Linked DNA regions of Arabidopsis thaliana. The protein of the gene in region 1 interacts with the protein of each later gene in a pairwise test. Each region holds a gene or a part of one and is shown in the gene's direction. Other genes may lie near its edges.

Region 1 (8,336 bases):
GGCAAAGAGAAGAGTCGATAGAATGTCTCTGATCTTTTTCTTGGTTGTTTATGGTTCTACTTGTAAAGGATCTCTAGCTTGTAGAGAGGAACAGGAACTAGGCTTTTTAACAAGCTACAAGCTACGATCCTTTATTGTAGATCCATAAACAACCAAATTTCTCGTACTCTCGAAGCTGCCTCTGCTGCCTCTGATCTTACTTTTGATAAAATATTAAAGAAAGAAGCAAAATCCAATATAGTTTATTGTAAACTCATTCAAGTCATGCATATAAACATTGTATTATTGTTTTCGTTAGAAAAGTAACCCAGAATGTTTTAAAAAATAGAAGAGGTTGCTTTGCTTTTGAAAAAAAGCCGAAAAACGCCGTTTTGATCTATAACTCACTATATCCTCGGTCTTAGCGGATGAGTCTAGCTTCTGTTCCTGTTCCTCTCTCAAAATATGTACCGAACAATTCACAATTCTGTGGTTTCCTGGTCTATCTCGGAAGGCCGCTTGTGAACTTTGCAGTTAGTAGTCATCTGGGAAGATGAACTGAAGATCTTGGTTGTCTCTGTACACTTGAACGAGAGTTGCAGCTTTGTATACAAACAAACCAACCATTGCTGGAACTATCTGCAAAGCACAATCGTTGTGGAGAATATAAAGGTTCAAACTTGTCTAAGAACATGTGATAACTTTGAGGTATCACGGATAAACATAGCTAAAACCTCGCAACGTGGAATAGCTTACCTGAAAGTCGAACAAGTCGTTCTGGAAATACTTGTGAGAGAGTATCCACAAACCATAAATTGCAGCTGGTATCACCAAGCGTGGAGAAGAGAGAGCCATGCCACTGCCCCTGATTGTCCTCACTACAAAGTCCTCAAGGTCTTCACTTCTGATCCCGATTCTGAATTGGGACAATACAAAAGCAAGTTCAGAGCAATGTGAGTATGGGAAGTGAGAAGAAAACGTGACCAGACTAAAAAGTTGTCAAGGTCTTTACTTTTTAGACTTTTTTTTCAGGAAGATATCAGGAACAGCTTCACGTGATAGACCATCAGCGTATCCATACAAAAGCTGAAGGTACAAGCAACTGCACTATGATCAGATTTGGTTAGGAATACGCGAGTGCTCGATCAAGCATGTTGCAGAACTATATCTTACAACGTCAAGGTCTATTTATGTACAAACCAATTAAAATAGACAACTAACCTGAATAGAACCCCAACTGCATAACTGACTGCAGCCTGTCATATGTCAGAATATTTCTTTCAGACACATTTTCGTATAGAGAAGCCATAGTATAAACTGGTTAGAGCTTTGACAGAGCTTACCTGAACTGATAAAGCTAGTAAACAGTATCCGCTGCATCCAGTTCCAATTACAATCGACAGGTACATGAGTTCACGCTTCAGCTACAAAAATAAAGACACAAACGCAGCAATTTCAAAGTTCATTCTACACAAATTGACTACTGGTACATACTGAACAGCCATTTTGCATAATAGAGTGTTTTGTTGAATCATAAAGATCTGACTGGCAGACTAATTAAGAAAACATACTGAAAGGAATAATCATACAGCTTCATATTTCAGAAAGTTAAACTTCTTCCTTCTCTCGCTGTCATCTCGTAGTGCCTGCAATCAAGGAAGTAGGACAAACGCAGCAGAGTTTTGCAATGAGAAGGACGTGTGAATGAATGAATACAGAGAACAAGAACATTCATAAATAGATGACCAACCTTAGCTAGAGCTTTCTTATTCATGGGGGCAGAATCACTCTCCCAACCAATCCATTCTTGTGTCGGTTTAAGTTTCAAGAAACCACTTTCATCATCATCAGCGCCATCTATCAAGCTTTCCTGCATATACAACATAAAGACATTAATAAAGGAGCTATACCAAGTTACCAACCAAAGTAACAGTACCAAGTATAAGATTGTTGCCATGAAAGCTATAAATTTGTGAGATTTCAGAAATTCACAAACCAATACTGGATTTCATAAAAATGTAGTCACTCACATAACAATTGCAACAGGATCATATAACTATCAAACTATTCCTCGATACAAAGTTAGCAATTTTAATCGTCAAAAGCAAACTTAGAACTGAAGAAAAAAAACTAGCTACAGTTACTAATGAACAAGTGAAAGAAACTTAACCCGAGTATCATCTAGTTCAACAGCTGAAGAAGAAGCTCCATTGGAATTAACATCAATAGATTCGAGAATCTCCTTTAACCAGAGCCTATCAGAAACTTTAGATATGAAATCTCCATTTTCTTCTCTGTCTTTCATGAACATTTGCAACACATCCTCCTCCACTAGCTCACTCACTAAAAACAAAGCAAAAGACATGAAATTTTCCACAAAGAGCGAACATTTGAGTAGTAAGGTTCAATGTAGAGAGAGAGATTGTCACCAGAGCGAGAAGCGGCATTAATGGCGGCCAAGCGATGGGAATTCCTGTTGGGAGGTCGCCGGAGATGATGCGGCGGAGAAACTCTCACCTTCGTCGGAGGAATGGTTCCGCCGGAAAACCAAGAAGCGGCGGGAATCGAGAGACTCTCCATGTAGCGAGAGAGTGAGACGGCCTCTGGTTTTTTTCCAGAAGAAGAAGCTTATCACTATTGTTGATGAAGAGAAAGAAAGTTTCCAAAAAGAAGACCCTTTTATTATTCATATATTATAATTTCACCCCTTAATTTACATTTATGACTATTGAGTCCTGTCTTTTTGTTTCGCCCTTTTCTCTAATTGTTTTCGTTTTCTTTCTATTTCTGAGTTTAGGAAGTGTGGGGTGATTTTGTAAATAAAGGATAATATAAAGGCCCATTGTTGCAACAACATGTTTAACATATAAACTTTGTTAGGAAGAGGTTTTGGCAATTTGGAGTCAGAGGGAGGCGTTGCAAACTCAATAAAGCTCAAAACTTTCCGCCGTCGTTTTCGTCGTCGGAGAATACAACAAAAGACCTAAAGCAGATCAAAGTAATTGTAGTTGACGGAGATGGAGAAAGTAAAGATTGAAGAAATTCAGTCCACCGCTAAGAAACAACGGATTGCTACTCACACCCATATCAAAGGCCTTGGCCTCGAGGTGCTCCTTCTCCTCTCTCTCTTTGACTCTAGTGGATTCCAGTAGTTTGCTCGAGTTTAGGGTTTAGTTAAGGTTTTATGTTCTAAGCTTTTTTAGGGTTTTAAAGCTATTTGCTTCGTTTGGTACTACGCTTAGAGTTTCTTTTCTCTGTTCTAGCACAAACAAACCCTAGTTTTCATTTGTAAAGTTTCGACTTTTCTGGGGATAAGATGCATTGCAGTATTCTCGTATTGCTCAAAGTTCTTTAAGGTTTTGTGTTTAAAGTTTAATGATTTTTAGGGGTTTCAAGCTCATTGCTTCGTTTGGTATTCTCCGAGACTCTTTTTTCGGCTCTAGCACAATTATACTCTAGTTTTGATTTGCAAATATTCAATTTTAATACATGTATTTTATGAAATATATAGTACTTGACCGATGTTTGAAGACCTTTGCTCTTCCACTTTGGCACGGCACTTTGATTTTAATTAACTATCTTTGCTTCTTTTACTGACTGTAGTTTCTCAAGCATCTGTGTGATCTCGTTCTATAACCAGTACATCATTTCTGTTGCTAATGTTGCGTCTCTTTTTCTAGCCAACTGGTATCCCTATAAAATTGGCAGCTGGATTTGTTGGTCAACTTGAGGCTAGAGAGGCAGCTGGTCTTGTAGTTGACATGATTAAGCAGAAGAAAATGGCGGGCAAGGCTCTTTTGCTTGCTGGACCTCCTGGAACTGGGAAAACAGCTTTGGCTCTTGGAATCTCTCAAGAGCTGGGAAGCAAGGTAATTTTGGATGTCTCATTTTGTATCTTCTTTGTTACATTGTTTCCACATGGCTTCATTGTATGAAGCTTTTTTCTTTTACTTTTAGCTTATTTTATCTGGATTGTTTCTTTCTTGCAGGTTCCATTCTGTCCAATGGTTGGATCTGAGGTTTACTCATCAGAGGTTAAGAAAACAGAGGTTCTCATGGAGAATTTTAGACGTGCCATTGGTCTACGTATCAAGGAAACCAAAGAAGTCTATGAAGGGGAGGTGTGTTGCTATTTGCGGTTTCTTTTGCTGTGTTCTTATGCAATAGCATGTCTCGCTAATTGGTTTTTGACATGTTGTCCTTGTGTTCTAGGTCACCGAGCTGTCACCAGAAGAAACTGAAAGCCTCACTGGAGGTTATGGTAAAAGCATCAGCCATGTTGTAATTACACTCAAGACAGTCAAAGGAACCAAACATCTGAAATTGGATCCCACTATCTATGATGCCTTGATTAAGGAAAAGGTCAGTTCTTGGCATGCGATGCTATGCTTTGGATGTGGTATTTTCCCCTAAGTTTTTGCTTTTCAGTTTGTTCCAAAACCTGCTTTTCTTTTCACCTTTTTGGTTTTCTAACGATGTCATTCTGTGGGGACAATTGTGTATGAATTTGCTGATTACTTTGTCATTCTGATTGGTTTCTTTTTATATTTTTGCTGTTTGCCTCTCAGGTAGCTGTAGGAGATGTAATCTATATCGAAGCAAACAGTGGAGCTGTCAAACGGGTAGGTAGAAGTGATGCTTTTGCCACTGAATTTGATCTGGAAGCAGAAGAATATGTTCCACTTCCCAAAGGAGAGGTCCACAAAAAGAAAGAGATAGTGCAGGTTTACCTTCTTTGACCTCTCCCTTCTGTGTAGAGTAATTATTTTCTTTGTTGATTTATTATCTGTTATGTATTAGTTTGTATGTGTATTAACCTTAGTTCCTAAGTTTATTAAGACTACTTGTTACTCAACTAGACCATATACTTTTGACTGATAGGATGTCACACTCCAAGATCTGGATGCAGCAAATGCTCGACCTCAAGGTGGCCAGGATATACTTTCTTTGATGGGCCAAATGATGAAACCGCGGAAGACTGAGATCACTGATAAGCTTCGGCAAGAAATTAACAAGGTGATTTTCGCTAGTACATGGGTGATTTTTTTAAGCATCTTACTTTCTCTTTTGCAAGGTCTAATATTTTTATATGCCATTGTAGGTTGTGAACCGATATATAGATGAAGGTGTGGCAGAGCTTGTTCCAGGAGTTCTATTTATTGATGAGGTATTTTCCCAAATAAAGTTTTTTTTCATTCCACTATTGATCTTGCTCAGGACTCAGGAGCAGTAAGAATACCTTTGTTTAATTATAAAACCTCAGGTTCATATGCTTGATATGGAGTGCTTCTCATACTTGAACCGTGCTCTTGAGAGCTCATTATCTCCGATAGTGATATTTGCAACAAATAGAGGTGTTTGCAACGTAAGGTGAGAAGAGCGCTAGACCTTGATAGACATTTTCCTTTGGAAATCTTGTGAGTTTTTGTTAACTTGGTACTGTGATTTACTTTATTTGCAGAGGGACTGATATGCCCAGCCCCCATGGAGTCCCTATTGATCTATTAGATCGATTGGTTATCATCCGGACTCAAATCTATGATCCCTCTGAAATGATCCAGGTTACTCAATTGTCATTTAGCTTTTGGATTTCAATTACTACGAACAACATTCTAATAGATTTATCATTTTGTTCACAGATTATAGCCATTCGTGCGCAAGTTGAAGAATTAACCGTGGATGAAGAATGCTTGGTTCTACTTGGGGAGATTGGGCAAAGAACTTCACTAAGGTACTGTCATCATTGCTTTTCTAAGCAAAATTTCTGTTCGTGAATCTAAATACTAAAACCTTTTTTGTGCTTTCACTCTCAGGCACGCTGTGCAGCTTCTGTCTCCTGCCAGCATTGTAGCGAAAATGAATGGCCGTGACAATATTTGCAAGGTAGATTTACTTGTGAAATCTTAGAACAATAAAACAAATGTAAAATATGTGGATGTTATGTTATTAATCCTTCATCTTAAATTTTGACAGGCTGATATAGAGGAAGTAACATCACTCTACTTGGATGCTAAATCTTCAGCAAAGCTTTTGCATGAGCAACAAGAAAAATACATCTCATGAGAAGAACACTAATCGCACATTTTGTTGAAACATCTCATAATTTTTCTGTCGTTTTATTTTGTAATGTCGGAATATGGAGAATGTCTAATGGGATTACAATTTGGTTTCTCTGAATTCATTTATTTATGTGCTATTTTTTTGTTTGTGGTGCTAACTAATGAAAACTGAAATATGGTTTCACGTGTATACACATACATGGTCGTGAGATTCAAACTTTTGGTTTCATATTGAGTTCCCTTGTTACATTACAATACACTTATTCAAGATCAAACTGTTTGTGGAACATAACATTGTGTAATTGTCTATTTGGTTACTGTTAAAAGTTGATGTTGCGCCAAAAAGAAAGAAAAAAAACTCTATTATCAGAACAGAGTCAGCAGAGTCGGAGATTATAAAACTTGAGGATCAAAGTGGGAGGAGTACCATAAGAGGGTGTCCCTGATCCGTACAATAATAACAAGGTCAAATGTATAAACAATAGAAAACTGTGGGGTTTTTGGGTAAAGACTTATCACGGTTGGGAACAGAGACAATCTTTTGAATAAGGTGAAACCAAAAGACTAGGGTTTTGTGTGACAAGGAAGAAGACGAAGACGGCGATGAATTCGTTAACCGTTGAACAAGTATTGAAAGAGAAGAAGACCAATGACCCAGATTCCGTCAAGGAACTTAATCTCGGCCATAAAGCTCTCACCGACGTGAGTATTGTTTCTGTTCTGAAACTCTGTTCCCAAGTAGAAATTGATACGAAACCCTAATTGTTTAATTGTATATTTAGGTGTCTTGTTTGAGCAAGTTCAAAAACTTGGAAAAGCTTGATCTTCGTTTCAACAATCTAACAGATCTTCAGGTTGATTGATACATAAATCTCATTTTATAAGCATAAATAGCATCCAAAGTTTTGATTTTTAAGTTGCTAGAGCTTATTATATGTTGATGTGTTAATTGGTTTTTAGGGACTCAAGTCTTGTGTGAACTTGAAATGGCTTTCAGTTGTGGAAAACAAATTGCAAAGCTTAAATGGAATTGAAGCACTCACTAAGCTTACGGTTAGTTCCACTGATATCACTGAGCTTGTTTCTTTGAGATTTGTATCACTTACCAATAGTGAGGTTCTCCAGGATTAAGCTTTGTTTTGACAGAAAACGAGTTAATATGTGTGCTTTATTTGACTGTGTGATGTTGTTTTCTATCAGGTGCTTAATGCTGGAAAGAATAAGCTCAAATCCATGAATGAGATCTCTTCTCTTGTCAATTTACGGGCCTTGATCTTGAATGGTAAGTTGTCAACGGTTTTATGTCTTTGCATCCACAAGCTACTGTTTGATTACTTACTCGTTATTGTTTCACTTGTTGTAGACAATGAAATCTCCTCCATTTGCAAGCTTGATTTACTCAAAGACTTGAACAGTCTCGGTATGTTCTTTTACATCAAAATCAACATGTTACTGTTTAGATGTTACACCTAATTTCATTCTACTTAAATGTGTATGGATTCATTCATGCAGTTCTTTCTAGGAACCCAATCAGTGAAATAGGTGACTCACTTTCAAAGTTGAAAAACCTCTCCAAAGTAAGCTCTTGTTTTCCTCCCGTTTCGGAATCACAACTAAACTGATCCTTGTCTAATCCCATCTCGGTTTCAGATTTCTTTGTCTGACTGCAGAATAAAAGCTATTGGCTCTTCTCTCAAGTCATGCTCTGATTTGAAAGAGCTGCGGCTCGCGAACAATGAAATCAAGGTGATCTTTCTTACATTTATGCAATCTACAGAACAAACCTGCCTCTTCTCACAATCTTTTGTTTATATTGCTAATCGTTATTTCATTTACGCTTAACTGTTCAGGCTCTCCCAGCAGAACTAGCAGTCAACAAAAGACTACTCAATTTGGATGTGGGAAACAATGTGATTACGCAACTCTCTGGTTTAGAGGTATAGTCTAATTCATATAGGTGAAAGCAAATTTGTTAGCCTTCCCTAGCTTGTGGCAAGTTTTTGTGGTGATCGTGTAATAAACCATCAAATTTGTGTGCTCCCAAATGATAGGTTTTGGGTACACTATCTTGCTTGCGAAATCTGAATATTCGAGGAAACCCGATTTCTGATAACGATAAGTCAGCTAAGAAGGTAAAACAACTTTTTCTACTTCTTTTTTCCATTGTGATTAGTGTAACTGCGTGAAGAAATCGTATAAGAATGAGGAAAATTGTTTTGATGTCGCAGGTGAGAACGTTGCTTCTCCCTTCAGTGAATGTATTCAACGCTCAACCCTTAGAAAAAAGCTCAAGGAATG
Region 2 (7,963 bases), on another chromosome or scaffold:
GTCATCACAGTATTCTCTCGCTAGCACATTTACTTTTCTTTGATCCATCCCAAGCTGGCAAATATCAGCCTACATATGTAACGAAAATGGTTTAACAGTAGTCACAGAACTCATCAGCCAGATACACAAAATGTAACATTACATTGATAAAATCTGCAATCATATACAGCTTATTTCTAGCCTGGAGCTTTTATCAGGTGTTTTATCAACAATATAATAGACTTTCTGCTGATGTAACGCTTAAGCTAAATTTTTTATTCCGAGTAACTAGCAGCAGAATCAAAGACAGTTCATAAGCAAGCAAAGGCTTAACAGTACCTCAAGGAAAAAAATATCTGCACATTGCATGCATGGGTAAAGGATCTGGGCAGCACTCAGTTCATCAGTCTCACTACGTCCCATAATCTGCACACACCTTCAAGGACAAGAACCAGAGTCATTCAGGTCCCATCATTTCCCTCACATAATTACAACGTCCCAAGAATGGAGAAGATTTAGAAAAGTAACCTTAAGATTCTAGGGAGCTTGTTTTTGCGAGCAATGTCCATCACAAGAGGCCAATACTTATCTGCCTTAGAATTAATTTCTTCGGACGACCACAAAAACTCTACTTTGTCATTATCCATCCCAGCAGCCTTCCATATCTCTTGAAAGTATTCTCCAACCACTCTGATTTTCTTCAAGTCACCACCCATTTTGTTGTTCAACTGAGCAAACCAATCAGCAATCCAAATCTTCACTCTGCAACCAGCTGAAGTCATTTTGTTCACATTGATGACTTTCATCACTCCCTATTAAGAAAACAACAGAACCAAAATAGATTAGCCAACGCTTCCTTCCCACATATGGTAATGGAACAAAGGAAAACTAACAGACCTGAGCAATGTGCATTCTTCCTGATGGTTCAAAGCCGTCGTAGCAAATCGGAGCAGCCTTCTTAGCAAGAAGATTCTTTAGCTCTTCCTCTTGTATACATTCCTCACCGATACTCCTAACAATTTTGTATCTCTTCTCAACTTCTTCACTCATCCTGAAGAATTAGTAAAATTTCAATATCTACCAGACCAATAAGCAGATAACAAGATCTTTTCAATTTTAAATTCCATACTTCTAAATTGCTATAGCTTTTTCATCTCTTCCACTCTAATCAAATAATATAATCCAAATCAAAATTGAAGCGCGAAAATGAAAAAAATTGATGATTGGTAAGAAAACTCACTGGAATCCATCGGACGAAGAAGATGCCTGAGTTGATGAAACGGAAACAGCTTCCATCTCCGACGACAGAGCATTGACGATCTCCGAACTTTGGTCTGCCATCAAATTTAGCCGGCGGCTCCTTCACAAAATTGCGAAATTGCGGAGGATTCTTAGGGTTTACCAGTGGCAGTGATGGAGACAGTTAACGTGCAATATAGCACCACTACGCTTCACGATTTTCACGGTTTGATTCGATTCTCTTTAATTTTGTTTTGGTTTAATCCGGTTACTATAAAAAGGCAACGATGTGTTAATTTAGGAAATAGTTGGTAAAATTTGGAATTTAGTATGGGCCTTAATACTAAAGCTTTAATTATTTAGGAAAGGCCCATTAGATATAAAATAGTTCGGTGGTCTTTGTAACAATGGTGGTTTCGATATACCAAACGTATTCTCGGAGATCATCAGGACTCAACAGCGAGCTTCGGACCCCGATCACGCCGCAGTATTTTTTTTTATCAATTTACCACTCTCTGCGTTGGTTACCTCGCCGAAGACTTCAAGATGTCTGATTCCGACATGGACATTGATGATGATGAGGTCGAACAAAAGGTGCAAGTACATACAATTGTAAGAGAATCTGAATTGTTTGATAAACCACCAATTCAAGCTTCCAATTCCCACAACGGTTAGTATTTGAAATTCGTGATTGGTTACATGGTATTGTTGATTAATTCTGTCAAGTTCGTGTTTTTATTGATGGAAACACCTTTTCCAATTTGGAATTGATGAATTTTGTTCTAGAAGAAAGAGAGAATTGTTAAATTGACTAGATTTAGCTCTGATTAGAGGTTCAAAGACTTGGCAATTAGATTTTCACTGAAGCTCTTTTGTAAAAATTGTGGCTTTAATACCAAGTAAGCAAATTCAATTCTCAGAGTTTTGTGCTTGTTTCTGTAAGGAATCTCTTTTGTTTATTCAAAACAGCAGTTTTGCTAATATGTACTGATTAAACTTGTCTCATGTAGATGTGAAGAGGCATTCTGTAACAACACCTTTAGATGAGCAATCAAAAATCATAAAGGAGCAAGCTTTTGCTCAAGATAATGGTACTTTACCAAGGTATGGCAAAAAAGTTTCTGCTTAAGTTTTGCTGAAACTAAGTTAAGAGGTTGAAGCTTTTATACTGACAAATTCGGTTATCAGATTTCCTGCTCCGGGTATACCGCCAAGAAGCTTTTTCACTGGCGGTGGTGGGAATGAACCAGAACAAAAACGTGCAGCTCTTCCCTGCAAATTTTTTGCTAAAGGGTGGTGTTTCAATGGGGTGTCCTGCAAGTTTCTACATGTGAAAGAGAATTCAAATTGCACTAGTCAACAACTGGCGGAAAATAGTATGGCTGGAAACGGTGGTATCCGGTCTGATCTAGGTACGTTGTACCATGAATACTTATTCTTGTGATTCTATGTGGAGGTAGTTCCAACAATATAGAGGCCGGTGAATATCTATGGGGTTTAATTACTCTTTCTGAATCAACCAATAATTTATTTTGCTTATGTCTATTCAGAAAGAAGAATTTTGGACAGCAGAGAAGGTGTAAGAGTTTCCCAGTTAAGCGAAAACGGTGTGACATCGTTGCCTACCAGAGAGGATATATCTTTCATGAATCCTCAGAGAGTTTTCTCCTCCATGTCTTTTGTGAATCCCCCAGGTTCTCAGAGAGTTTTCCCGTTCAATAACGAGATGCGCTTTATGCCTTCATTTGAAAACATTAGAAGAGAGAGTTTGAAGCAAACGTATGGTGCTGATTTCACTGACAACAGGTCTCTAGTTATTAATAACGCCAATTCCTTCGCATTGAGAAGCAGCTTTGTTCATGAGCATAGACCTTCTATCAGTTCCTATTTAAAAACAGACATGGGATCTGCTGGACCAGCCTGGACAGGATCATTATCCAGTTCTGTTCCTATGAATGATCGTGCTTCTACGGTGGGGGATTTTGAAAATGGGAATAGTTTATCTGGATCCGGATCACTTCCAACGCTGCAAGGGGTAGCTGTTTCTTCTGATAAAGGCGCAGAAGCCAACACTACTAGCACTAAAAAGAAAGTTTCTTCAGATGACTGGGAACCTTCTGAACCTTTTAAAGCATCTTTTACAATTCCACCTTATATTCTTCCCTCGTCTGATGCCCTCTACGATCCTTTCACGGATATAGAGAATCTAGGAGACAGACCTCTTAATGATTCATTGTCAAGTAAAGGAGAACATGCACGGAAAAGTTCCTGCCAGCAGAAAGATGGTGATTCTGCTAGTGGTCCCCAAGCACGGGATTGCAAGAATGATGATAAAAGCAGTTCATGCAGTCAAAATCAACACCAAGAAACCGTGGCAAGGAGTTTGGAAGCACATGGAGTAGTGGAAGGGGTGGCTACGTCAGTGGTTGATCAAAATGATACAGCAACGCCTAGCAAAGAGATTTCTTCGGCTACGGCTGCAGAGAATAGAGTTGTTTTGAAAAGAATCAAACCTGCAGGGCATGATTCTTGGCATAGAAGTGATGGGTCTTCATATAAAAAGACAAAGAAATCAGATGAGATAGATGGTGAAGTGAGGTCAGATGCAGGAATGAAAGTAATGAGACTATTCCGGACTGCAGTTGTGGAAACCATTAAAGAAATGTTGAAACCGTTGTGGCGTGAGGGTCGTCTAACTAAAGACGTGCATAACATGATAGTTAAAAAAGCTGCAGAAAAGGTAGTCGGCGCCGCTGTCCAGTTTCATCAGGTGCCAACTGACACAGAATCAGTTGATCAATATCTTGGTTTGTCTGGAACCAGAATTGTGAAACTTGTCGAGGTGAGTTTCTTAGCTGGAAATAAAAGACACTTAAAGCAGGTAAAAACCTAAGTAGTAAGTATTGCATAAGCTAACAATTCTTATGTTCATTTGCAGGGGTATGTCGAAAAGTATGGTAAACCCTGAGTTATCAAACCAAATGTCACTTGGTGTGGCATGAGCTCAAACTGATGAGATTCCTGTACATTATGTCATCCTTCTTTTACTCAGTTATAGATTTAGTACGTAGCACCTAAATTCTTTGGAACTCCATTCCTATCCTTTACCGATAATGGAATAAGGTTGGAATGGGAGCTTGGTGGAGGAAATGTGTACACATTGTAAAACTCTTCAAAGCTTAATTTATGCTTAAAACAGTTTTCTTTTACCTTTGGGAATATGATTTAGAATGTGATCTTTAGAAGTAATGTGATAAAGAATGGTTGCCTTGGAAGCAGAGGAAAAGAGAAAGAAATGGAATAATGTTGAGGTACGTTTCCTAACTATTTGATAAGTAATTTAGCTTTGTGAAACCAAGATTTTTCAAATTAGAAGTTAGTTTTAGTTTTGTATTTCTCCATCAATATAAGTAAAACCTCTGTAAATTAATACTCGGTAAATTAATAACCTCTATAAATTAATAATTTCTTCCAATCCCGAGGTGAGACTAATGGAAAAAATGACATAAATCGATAAATTAATAAGATAATAATTTTTTTGAAAATCCTATGTAAATATATGGTCTCATTAATATCACAAATTAATAATTGCAGAAATGTATCAACTATATATACATTATATGTAAGAAATTTCTTTAAAATATATTTCTAATATTTTTTTTTGCTTAAATTTGTATTTATTCTTATTTGATATTGAGTTCTAATATTTTATTGTATCAAAAAATTTTGGTGTTGTTTTCTAAATATGATATTACTTTTTACTTGTAATTGATTCTTAAAAAATATTTTCTATAATGAAAAAATCTTAAATTTTTTTTAAAAGTTAATAAATTAGAAAAATATCTCTATAAATTAATTAATTAATCGATAAATTAAAACCTCTATAAATTAATATAATTTTTCGGTCCTAACATTATTAATTTATAGAAGTTTTACTGTAAGTAGAAAGTGGTTTTTGGTTTAGGATAAAGTGCATACGTTTTGTGTACAGTTTTGGAATTAGTTTTATCTTTTTCAAACATTTTAGTGAATCATTTGGACTATGATCATTAGGACATCATGAACTTATTATCTATGGTGGGTTTGTGGAAAACTATTTGATTAGAGTTACTGTTGCTTAATAATATTAACTTCACAAAATAATCAAAATATGTTTGTTGTTCCTATAATACTTTTCCACGAAAGACTTGGGATTCTTTTGATTTAAGGGTCCCTACACTTTATGACTCGTCGTCCTTATCCATATCTCCAGCTCTATACCCACCTTGCATTTTTTTTATTTCCACACTTCTCCCTCACTGCTCACGCTTCTCATGATCAATGGTTTGATCTATATTATAACATTAATGTTATATATTAAGGTCCTTTAAAGTAGGCTTATCCACATCCTAATTTCCAAAGATGGCGTGTATTTTAGCTCTAAACCCTGGAAGTTGCATGTTATATTAAAATGTTGTAAAATGACATATTAATACATAACACACAATTTACAATTATATTATGTATTCATGTTGTTTATTGACAGAGAATAATAACATTTTGGCTAAACGTATCAAATTTTAACGAAAATTCTATGTGCAAGTATATAAACTTCATTTGGTAATTAAGTTATCAATTACTTGTCAATTATTTCTAGTCTATTATAGTATTTCTCTAGATATTTTGTGGGTCAAATAAAAAATGAGAGAACTAGTCGACAAAGGAAAAGAGATATTTTTACGAATAGTTTAAAAATGAGTCTATAAATTAGATGAAGGAAGCCCTTTAGTAAGTACTTCACACTTGACACAATTCTATCCAAAATCAACCCAAAAAAAGAAAGAAATATGTGGGATGAAACTGTAGCCGGACCTAAACCGGAGCATGGCCTTGGCCGCCTCCGCAATAAGATCACCACCCAACCCCTTGACATCAAAGGTATTTATTTTTCTTTGTCAACCATAACTCCGTAATAAACTTGCATATACAGATCTTTGTAGAAACGTATGATCTCATAATTATATCATGTGATGGTTTTTGGAAGGTGTAGGAGAAGGGAGCAGTAGTAAAACTGTGGCGGCGGTGGCCGGGAGTCCTGGAACTCCGACGACGCCAGGATCGGCGCGTAAGGAAAACGTGTGGAGAAGTGTGTTTCATCCAGGAAGTAACATCGCCACTAGAGGAATGGGCACAAACCTCTTCGACAAGCCTTCTCACCCAAACTCTCCCACCGTCTACGATTGGTACGTACTCAGTTTCTGTTATTATTATCTGACCGGACGGTGTAGATCAGATCTAAGATGGTTTGACCGTTGTTGTGATCCCGCAGGCTATACAGCGACGACACTAGGAGCAAGCACCGTTGAGCCGAGAGGGTAGAGTGACATGAGAATGATGTAAAATAATTATGTTCTTTACGCCACGTGTTTATGTTCTGTTTCGTCTATTTTGGCTATATGTGCAATCTTTTATTTGCTTCATGTCGTTTGTGTTTGTTAGTGACCGTTGATTTCCACCATCTGGGTTAGTTTTTAGCTTTTAACGGTGGCGATGCGTCTTCAGTGTCTTGTAATATTTTTACTGTTCGGTAATATTACAATTAGCTTCTCTAATGATTTAGCTAACAATATAACTTAACTTAACTATAATTAGCAAAATGGAATTTAACTTAACCATGGTTGATCTCATATCATTATTTTTATTTTATTTTATTTGTTCATCATTAAAATATCTCAATCATGCATGGTTAGATGAATTCGTTGTGTCAACAAACAATTATGATAGTGATTTGATTAAATTTTAACTGAACTATGGTTGATCTCATCTCATTAAATAACAAAAACATAACAATGGTTAAATGCATTCTTTGTGTCAACAAACCATTATGATAGTGATTTAATTAAAGTTTATACATGTCTTTGGATACAGTTGTAATTTTTTATATATATTTTTTTGTCTGATTTGATATAATTATACAAAGTTACACAAAAAGAACCAATCCAAAGCTCAGGGATCAACCTATTTTAATCACCATGGTTGATCTCATCTCATTAAATAACAAAAACATAACCATGGTTAGGTGAATTCTTTGTGTCAACAAACCATTATGATAGTGATTTAATTAAAGTTTATACATGTCTGGATACAAATGTAATATATATTTAATTTTTTGTCATCTGATTTGATTAAAGAAGAAGATAGAATACAAGGTTACACAAAAAGAACCAACCCAAACCTGAGTCCTGCGGGATCAACCTATTCAAAGCACATTTTCAATACAAGGGGAATATACAAAAGAAGTGTCTCCACCTACACAAAAACACACAAGTTCATAGAGAAGAAAGAGATCTTTCACCATTAAACACACGTTACACACCTTGCAACCAAGAGCTACATACAAATGGAGCCGTAAAAGTCATTAGTTATACTTTGTGCAATGAGATTAGCTCCTTTATAAGTCACTTTGGATTCACTGCCATCTTCTATTCAAAACCTTAAAACGAGATGATAATATTAACACATATACCACAAAAAAGCATTGACCATTTCACATGCCATTCGTTAATCAATTGTAAACAAATTTTATGAAACAATCTACCTAAACTATCATAATTTTGTCACGATTAGACCGAAACTATCATTCTAATTAGTTCACACTACACAATATAGAATCTATCATATATATGTAGCAACCAATTCTTTATCTAAAAAAAAGTAAAATTTTGTAACACCCATATAAATATTTAACTTTCACTCTGAATTATTC
Region 3 (7,654 bases), on another chromosome or scaffold:
TATTAAAAAAAAACAGACAAAAAAGTTTATGGTTTATCATAATTCGTCAAAACAATTGAGTATCCAACTAACCCTGCCCCAAGAAGTGTAAATCCAAGAATTAGCTTAGGCCACTGCTGTTTCGCAGATTCAACTAAACTCTCAAAAACTGTTGCGGTTCCATCCCCATTGGAAGAGAAGAAAGATGCAGGAAAGAAACGAGAGGATTTCTTCAATGATGTCTTGGTACCATTATGAGATGAACTCTCCCTTGGCAGATCTTTCTGCACTTCCTGTTTTTTTGTCAGAACAACATTCTTTGACTTCTCTGCTTCTCCTTCAGCCTCTTTAGCAAAATCTGCAGTTGGCTTTCCGTTCTCATTATCTGACTCGTAAGACTGAGTCCCAACATCTGATGAAACTCCAACTACTACTAAGTCTCTTTCAGCCTGATGGCTTACATCAACAATTTCACTCAAGACTTCATCCTCACCAACAATAGTATTCTTTCCATCCAATACCTTTCCCTGGGTTGTTTCTTGGGTTTGGGAACCAAAAAGAGTCTTCTCTGCTCTTTGCAAAGCAATCTCTGCATCATTCACACGTTGAGTAGCCTCAAGCTCAAATGCCACAGCTTGTTCGGCCAAAACCATGATATTTGCAACATCCTCCTCGGCTTTCAATGCGCTGATCTGCGCTCTCTCGGCAGCCTCATTCAATCTATCTACTTCCTTCTGCAGCTCGTCCTTCTTAACTTGCAAACGCCTGAGTTGTTCCTCACAGCTTGCTAAATTTTCTTGGCATTCTTTTATGTCAGCCTTAGCAGATAAAAGGGCTTCCTCTTTATCTTTAACACCATCTCTAACCTCACTCTCTTCAGAAGTATTGTACCCTTCTGCTTCTAGTGATTCAAGTGCAACCTGCAGCCTTGCTTCAGCCAGAGATAATGCCATAGTAGCCTTCTGAACAGCTTCTTTAGCAACGGACTCTTCATCAACAGCCTCTTGAACCACATTAAGTGTTTGGTTTACATCGTTCCACGCACTGGCTGCTTCATCCTTAAGTGCTATCGCTACCTCTGAAATCCTCTGAGCCTTTTCTTCAAACATGGTACTGTTGAGACTAGCCACTTCCAATTCTTTAGTTGCCTTATTCAGTAGATCCCTGAGTTCCTCCAAACTAGGTGCAGAATCTTGCTCTCTTGTGTCTTTCTCTTCCTTAGAAAACGTAACCTCCCTGTCATCACTACCTTCAGCAAATTCCAAATTCCGGTCATTCCCAACCAAATCTCCTACAGAATCGCTACTTTGACAAAGTAACCTAAACCCCAGCGGAACATTTTGGGGTTTTGCAGGAAGCAAATGACCGTAAAATCTTCCATTGAAATCAGCATTCAAAGTCAAAGAAGAACGATACGATACATTTCGTTTCGATCTAATAGCTGAGCGAACTTTAGAATCAATCATCGGATCCCAAAATCTAGTGCCGCCGAGTCCTTTGGGACAGAGTTTCGCACTTATCATTCGATTCGGCAAGCAGTAACTCGCAAAATCCGCACCACCGTGAAACATACTCTGGCGCTGAACGCTAGACGCAAAATCCATATTACTGCTGCAGAAAGACGGAGAGAACAAGAGACTGACCGATCATAAGAGAAGAGAGCTTCAAGGCTTCAGCTGATGAAGAATCAATGGCGGCGAGAGTGAGTGAGAATCGAGTAGTTACTGAGAGGAAGATGAAACGTATCTCCTGAGAAAAAACGTAAGAGAGTTCCGTTTCAACAGTATTTTTCTCGGCGGTCTTCAGATTTTCCGTCCAACTCTCTCTTTCCTCTTTCAGTTTTTTTTTGCCCAATCACTCGTGGTAGGATTTTTTTATAAGAAAGTTACGAAAATGCCCTCTCGTGCTTAGAGAGATTCAATTCGTGCACATATAATATGCCGTGAATATACCACCAACTCTCTTACTCGTACTCGCATGTGGTGCGTGCAATATACACGTGGTTCGAATCAACGGCTACGTTTTACTGATAGGTGGCTCGTTTAGTTTTGCACTGCCTTTGGGTGCGCGTGACCAAGTCATTTTCCAAATGTGTTTTAATATTTGTGAACTATTATTAATAAAAAAGCGAGCGACGTTGTTCGTTGATGAGGGAGCGACCGTACGCTTGGCGACCTTCTCTGATTGCGTAGAGTCGTTTTCCTTATTGGGCTTACCTAGTACCGTCAGCCCACAATGTTTTCATTTCTTTCCCACCTAAAACTAAAAGTACTCACAAGTCACAACTTAAACCAAGTACACAAGGATTTTATCATGGGATTATCGTGTTTGAAGACTAAAAAGAGCACACCATCACCCCCATTAGTGCAGGTAGAGTAAGACAGTAACTTTTGGGTTCATATTACCGAGCAAGAACCGTTATTTGTGATTAGACATGTTATAAACCACTGCTTTAGTGACTATTTAAAACAATATATTACATGTCGTAATCATGCAACCTAACTATGTTTTCATTAATCAAATACAAAGAATAAAGAGAAAAGTGCGTAGATTCAATTATTTGGCATAGACTCAAAAGAGTGTATATATATCTGACTTTTATTAAATTATTAAACACAAATACATATTTTCATAAGCAAAACTATAAAAGCCCTAAACATATAACGATTACCTCAAAGGAAAAAGTCGTTTTCTCCTAATTAAAAGATAGGTTACTTCCTAATTAATATATAATTTATGTGAACTTCACAATATACAGTTCAATAAAATTTGGTAATTTGACCGATTTAAGGAGAGTGGAAATTAGGGCTTCTGCAATCTTTTTTCTTCGCCGCAATCTCATGTCCAATTATCCACCGACGGTGGCGGCGCAACCCACAACGACGGCGAATCCACTGCTGCAGCGACATCAATCTGAACAGCGACGAAGAGAATTACCGAAGATTGTCGAAACAGAGTCTACAAGTATGGACATTACGATCGGTCAATCTAAGCAGCCTCAATTTTTGAAATCCATAGACGAATTAGCTGCGTTTTCAGTTGCAGTGGAAACATTCAAACGCCAATTCGATGATCTTCAGAAGCACATCGAGTCAATCGAAAACGCAATTGATTCCAAACTCGAGAGTAACGGCGTTGTCCTCGCCGCGCGGAACAATAATTTCCATCAGCCGATGTTATCGCCTCCGCGGAACAATGTATCTGTAGAAACCACCGTCACTGTGAGCCAACCGTCTCAGGAGATTGTACCGGAGACGTCGAATAAACCGGAGGGGGAACGTATATGTGAGTTGATGTGTAGCAAAGGTCTGCGTAAATACATATACGCGAATATCTCTGATCAAGCTAAGTTAATGGAAGAGATTCCTTCAGCTTTGAAATTGGCCAAGGAGCCAGCGAAGTTTGTATTGGATTGTATTGGCAAGTTTTACTTACAAGGGCGTAGAGCATTTACTAAAGAGTCGCCTATGAGCTCTGCGAGACAAGTTTCGCTTCTTATACTGGAGTCTTTTCTTCTAATGCCTGATCGTGGTAAAGGGAAGGTGAAGATTGAGAGTTGGATTAAAGATGAGGCGGAGACGGCTGCTGTTGCTTGGAGGAAAAGGTTGATGACTGAAGGAGGATTAGCTGCGGCTGAGAAAATGGATGCAAGGGGTTTGCTTTTACTAGTTGCTTGTTTTGGTGTTCCTTCAAACTTTAGGAGTACAGATTTGCTGGATTTGATAAGGATGAGTGGTTCGAATGAGATTGCCGGTGCTTTGAAGCGGTCACAGTTTCAGGTACCATATTCTGTTCTCACTCGGTGAATTTCATTGCAAAGGTGGTTCCTTTTGTTGACATCATCGACCAACATCAAGTTCCATCTTTGTTTTTCGATAAGCTTGATGGTATAAACTAGGAGAGCACATCAAATATTTAGAGTGCAATGACTGATTGAGCCAAATCCTAGCTAGAAATTAATCTGGAAAGAACTTGGAACTCTCAACCATAGGTTTTGGTACGAAATTGTTGCTTGTCAGAACCAAATGATAGGCTATTGCCTTGAAATAGTGTTTCTTGTGGTTTCCAATATTGGAAGTTAAAATCATATGACTTAGCTGTTGGATACTAATTAAGCTTAAGCAATGCCAACTCTAAGAAGTGGTACTTACACAATATTCTATTGGTCATAGGTATAGTTGAATCAAGTATCAAGCGTGGAATGCATATTGAAGCTCTTGAAATGGTTTATACCTTTGGCATGGAGGATAAGTTTTCAGCTGCTCTAGTTCTAACTTCATTCTTAAAGATGAGCAAGGAGTCATTTGAGAGGGCAAAACGGAAAGCCCAGTCACCGCTGGCATTTGTATGAACCCTTCCCTTGCACATTATGTACCTTTATGAACTCTTTATCATCATCTGAGTCTGACCATTGATATATTTATTTCTCAACAGAAAGAAGCGGCTACAAAGCAGCTAGCTGTGTTATCATCAGTTATGCAGTGTATGGAGACTCACAAGTTAGATCCTGCGAAAGAACTACCAGGATGGCAGATCAAAGAGCAAATTGTTAGCTTGGAGAAAGACACTCTTCAGCTCGACAAAGAGATGGAAGAGAAAGCAAGATCTCTCAGTTTAATGGAGGAAGCCGCACTTGCCAAGAGAATGTATAACCAACAGATAAAACGTCCAAGGTTATCACCCATGGAAATGCCACCAGTAACTTCTTCATCGTATTCTCCTATCTACCGTGATAGAAGCTTTCCTAGTCAAAGAGACGATGACCAAGATGAAATATCAGCTCTTGTGAGTAGTTACCTCGGCCCGTCAACATCTTTTCCTCATCGCTCAAGAAGATCCCCGGAATATATGGTTCCACTTCCACATGGTGGGTTAGGAAGAAGTGTATATGCATATGAACATCTGGCCCCAAATTCATATTCTCCAGGTCACGGACATAGACTTCATCGACAGTACTCTCCGTCTTTGGTTCACGGACAGAGACATCCACTACAGTACTCTCCTCCAATTCATGGACAACAACAGTTACCATATGGTATACAAAGGGTTTACAGACATTCACCATCTGAAGAAAGATATTTGGGTTTATCCAATCAAAGGTCTCCTCGCAGTAACTCATCATTAGACCCCAAATAGGAGGAATGTAAATTTGTAACAAAGCTTTTTGTTTTTGCTTAAGTTAGTCATTTATTTAACTCCCAACAGTCTCAAAATTTAATTTAATGTTTGGGGCTTAAGAATGCAAATTTTTTTGCTCCTGTAATTGACATTTAAGATGCTAATGTTATTGCTTCAGAGGTTTTAGTCAACCTCAGATACATCGATATCACTATCTAAATAGACCTCTGGCTCTTGGTCATCTGGATTCTCTTCATCTTCTGTCTCTGTTCCTTCTTGTTCTCGTTGCACTGCTCGAGCAATTGCGGATTCCAACCTTGTGCTTACAGTTTCCCATGACACAAGCTTTTCCATGAATGTATTTATGTCCGCCTTCTTATCTTTCTTGAGGAAGATGAATTCACCGAAGATCCAACTTGAGCTTGACAATCAATCAAATCCGAAACAGAAACAGAGCTTTTTGACATCTTTGATTTAGCAGTCTTTGATCTTGAGGAATATCAATGAACACTAGATACACTCACACTTGCAGGCTTTAAACTGGATTTTAAACATGAATAGAAGCATTGATTCCATGGAATGTGGTAAGTGACATAGCTGGACTTCTTAAACAAATGTATGAACGGGTAGGGTTCATTACAATGTAGTTATACAGCACTGAGATTTATGGAAGAAAAAAAGGACACAGCTTTAACTATCTACAGAGAGACAAGAACACTAAAGACAAGAGAATCATAAGTTCAGGAGTTCGTTAAAATGGCTCTATTCAAATCACACATTGGCACAAGACCACTAATAAGATACCAAGTGGGACAATCGAAAGATAATAAGAGATAGCATATCAGAGAGAGAGAGAGATTTTTTGAGGAGGGAGAAGTTCGCCGGAGGCTTCTGTTTCTAGTCGGCGTTGTGATTGGAATTGTTTGAGCGGTCTTTCCAGTCCCGGAATTGGAAACAAGAGGGCTAATTTTGGTCCTTTTGGAAAGATTTGAAACGACATCGTTATTAAGCCCTAATTCTACTATAACGATGTCGTTTACGAGAAACATACATATACATACTTGAGAATAAAGCCCATTACCAAGAGACCAATTTTGGTCTTTTTCGTATAGTATTAACTCTACGGCGATTGATCTAAGCCCAATAATTGTGGAACTTGCTCGACTTAGGTCTCAATCTCTATTTTCTACCAATGCCAAAAAACAATTTCCTTACAAATTTTTTATTTTTCCCATCAAAACAATTCCCACCAATTTACATTTAAAAATCATTGTAATCTATCACATTTCCTTACTTTTAAAACCATTTACAAATCTATTTATCGCCAAAACAAAAACGGGAAAAATGTTTTTGGAAAAAAAAAATTGACAGAAAAATTATTTTCGGAATATTTTTGGCGAAAAAAATCGATATTCTATTTTGTTAACCTAAAATATTTTCAAAATATGAGTAAAATAGTCATTAAAAATTAAATTAACGTATAAATGAAAATGACTAACAGGAAAGGTTATAATTAAAAAATGATAATTTTGGAAGAACATTTTTTACAATTTCTCTTTAATCATTAACCCTCGTTGTATGGAACTCCGGTGGCGTTGAGCCACGAATCTCTATTTATGAACTCTCTAACCGTAAACATGACTGCTTCCATCGGGTCTGTGATGATCTTGTTCCCATTCGGATGGACTCTCTGGCTTGCGTTTGCTCTGGGGCCTTTGTTTTGATATTCGCGGTAGAACAATGTGGACAAATCCCCACTAGTGCTGCTATTTCATGGAGTCCATCCCACTGGATCTATCAAAACATCCATTTAAGATTCCATAATCACCACCGTTGATAAATCACCCCACGGTCTTACTAGAAACATCTTCACCATTCTGTGAATGTCGACGTGTCGGTCGAGAGACTGTAAAAAGCCTACGTATTCATAGAATTTTTATTTTTATTTGTGATGTTTATGATAGTTTTTTGTTCACTTTATTTTTTTTGTTCAATCTATTTTAATTTTCTTAACACTGATATAAAAAATTTCATAGTTTATGTTGTGTATTTATTTTTTAATTTTTTATAATATTTAATTTAATTTTGTCAATTATTGTTTTATTTAATGTGTGAATTAATTTTAGCTGTAATGTTTTGATTTCAATAAATAAAATTTAGGCAGGCCACAATATGATGACTTGGATGTTGATGTAGACATCGTAGATCGAAAGTGAACTTTTCTATTATATAGACGTATTTTACTTATTTTTTGCTTAATTTATGCTTACTTTTGGTCAAATTATTTTCTCTTTATTATTCAAATTATTTCAATAATCATAACATATTGGTAGATATGTAGTCGCTATAAAAAATTTGGATGTAAATGTTAACTGATGAAATAAACTAGGCCTAATTTGTGTGAAAGTAGAAACCTATTAATTGTGAAAGTTTGAAATTCCATAATCTCGGTCGCATATTGAATACTCAACATATAATTTTGGTAGTGTTTGAAGAATCATATTTGAGACATAATCAGGTATAATGAATAAAAGCAGATGACACAGCAAACGAGGAA

Evidence for each region.
Region 2: the proteins of RIN1 (region 1) and FES1 interact in a two-hybrid assay, tested with the Arabidopsis thaliana proteins (one study listed by BioGRID).
Region 3: the proteins of RIN1 (region 1) and FRI interact in a two-hybrid assay, tested with the Arabidopsis thaliana proteins (one study listed by BioGRID).

Annotation. Positions count from the first base shown.
Region 1 is NC_003076.8:7,388,732-7,397,067, reverse strand, and holds RIN1 (P-loop containing nucleoside triphosphate hydrolases superfamily protein), read left to right. Parts: upstream 1-2,787; 5' UTR 2,788-2,996; coding exon 2,997-3,086; intron 3,087-3,659; coding exon 3,660-3,848; intron 3,849-3,968; coding exon 3,969-4,100; intron 4,101-4,191; coding exon 4,192-4,341; intron 4,342-4,547; coding exon 4,548-4,703; intron 4,704-4,860; coding exon 4,861-4,995; intron 4,996-5,080; coding exon 5,081-5,146; intron 5,147-5,242; coding exon 5,243-5,349; intron 5,350-5,440; coding exon 5,441-5,540; intron 5,541-5,618; coding exon 5,619-5,710; intron 5,711-5,792; coding exon 5,793-5,862; intron 5,863-5,952; coding exon 5,953-6,042; 3' UTR 6,043-6,272; downstream 6,273-8,336. Other genes in the region: AT5G22340 (NF-kappa-B inhibitor-like protein), read right to left, coding at 459-614, 736-895, 992-1,081, 1,201-1,235, 1,323-1,403, 1,569-1,625, 1,730-1,849, 2,150-2,322 and 1 more; AT5G22320 (Leucine-rich repeat (LRR) family protein), read left to right, coding at 6,642-6,740, 6,821-6,892, 6,999-7,091, 7,239-7,320, 7,402-7,458, 7,551-7,615, 7,689-7,784, 7,889-7,975 and 2 more. UniProt on the Arabidopsis thaliana protein: Proposed core component of the chromatin remodeling INO80 complex which is involved in transcriptional regulation, DNA replication and probably DNA repair.
Region 2 is NC_003071.7:14,308,368-14,316,330, reverse strand, and holds FES1 (Zinc finger C-x8-C-x5-C-x3-H type family protein), read left to right. Parts: upstream 1-1,616; 5' UTR 1,617-1,764; coding exon 1,765-1,888; intron 1,889-2,228; coding exon 2,229-2,322; intron 2,323-2,406; coding exon 2,407-2,630; intron 2,631-2,768; coding exon 2,769-4,060; intron 4,061-4,156; coding exon 4,157-4,186; 3' UTR 4,187-4,619; downstream 4,620-7,963. Other genes in the region: AT2G33840 (Tyrosyl-tRNA synthetase, class Ib, bacterial/mitochondrial), read right to left, coding at 1-69, 319-415, 508-791, 877-1,030, 1,220-1,320; AT2G33830 (Dormancy/auxin associated family protein), read left to right, coding at 6,045-6,135, 6,242-6,440, 6,527-6,563. UniProt on the Arabidopsis thaliana protein: Transcriptional activator involved in the FRIGIDA-mediated vernalization pathway, but not in the autonomous flowering pathway. Acts cooperatively with FRI (FRIGIDA) or FRL1 (FRIGIDA-LIKE 1) to promote FLC (FLOWERING LOCUS C) expression.
Region 3 is NC_003075.7:266,207-273,860, forward strand, and holds FRI (FRIGIDA-like protein), read left to right. Parts: upstream 1-2,694; 5' UTR 2,695-2,819; coding exon 2,820-3,758; intron 3,759-4,151; coding exon 4,152-4,157; 3' UTR 4,158-4,324; intron 4,325-4,413; 3' UTR 4,414-5,280; downstream 5,281-7,654. Other genes in the region: KEA2 (K+ efflux antiporter 2), read right to left, coding at 73-1,583; AT4G00651 (Fe superoxide dismutase), read right to left, coding at 5,281-5,518, 5,624-5,673.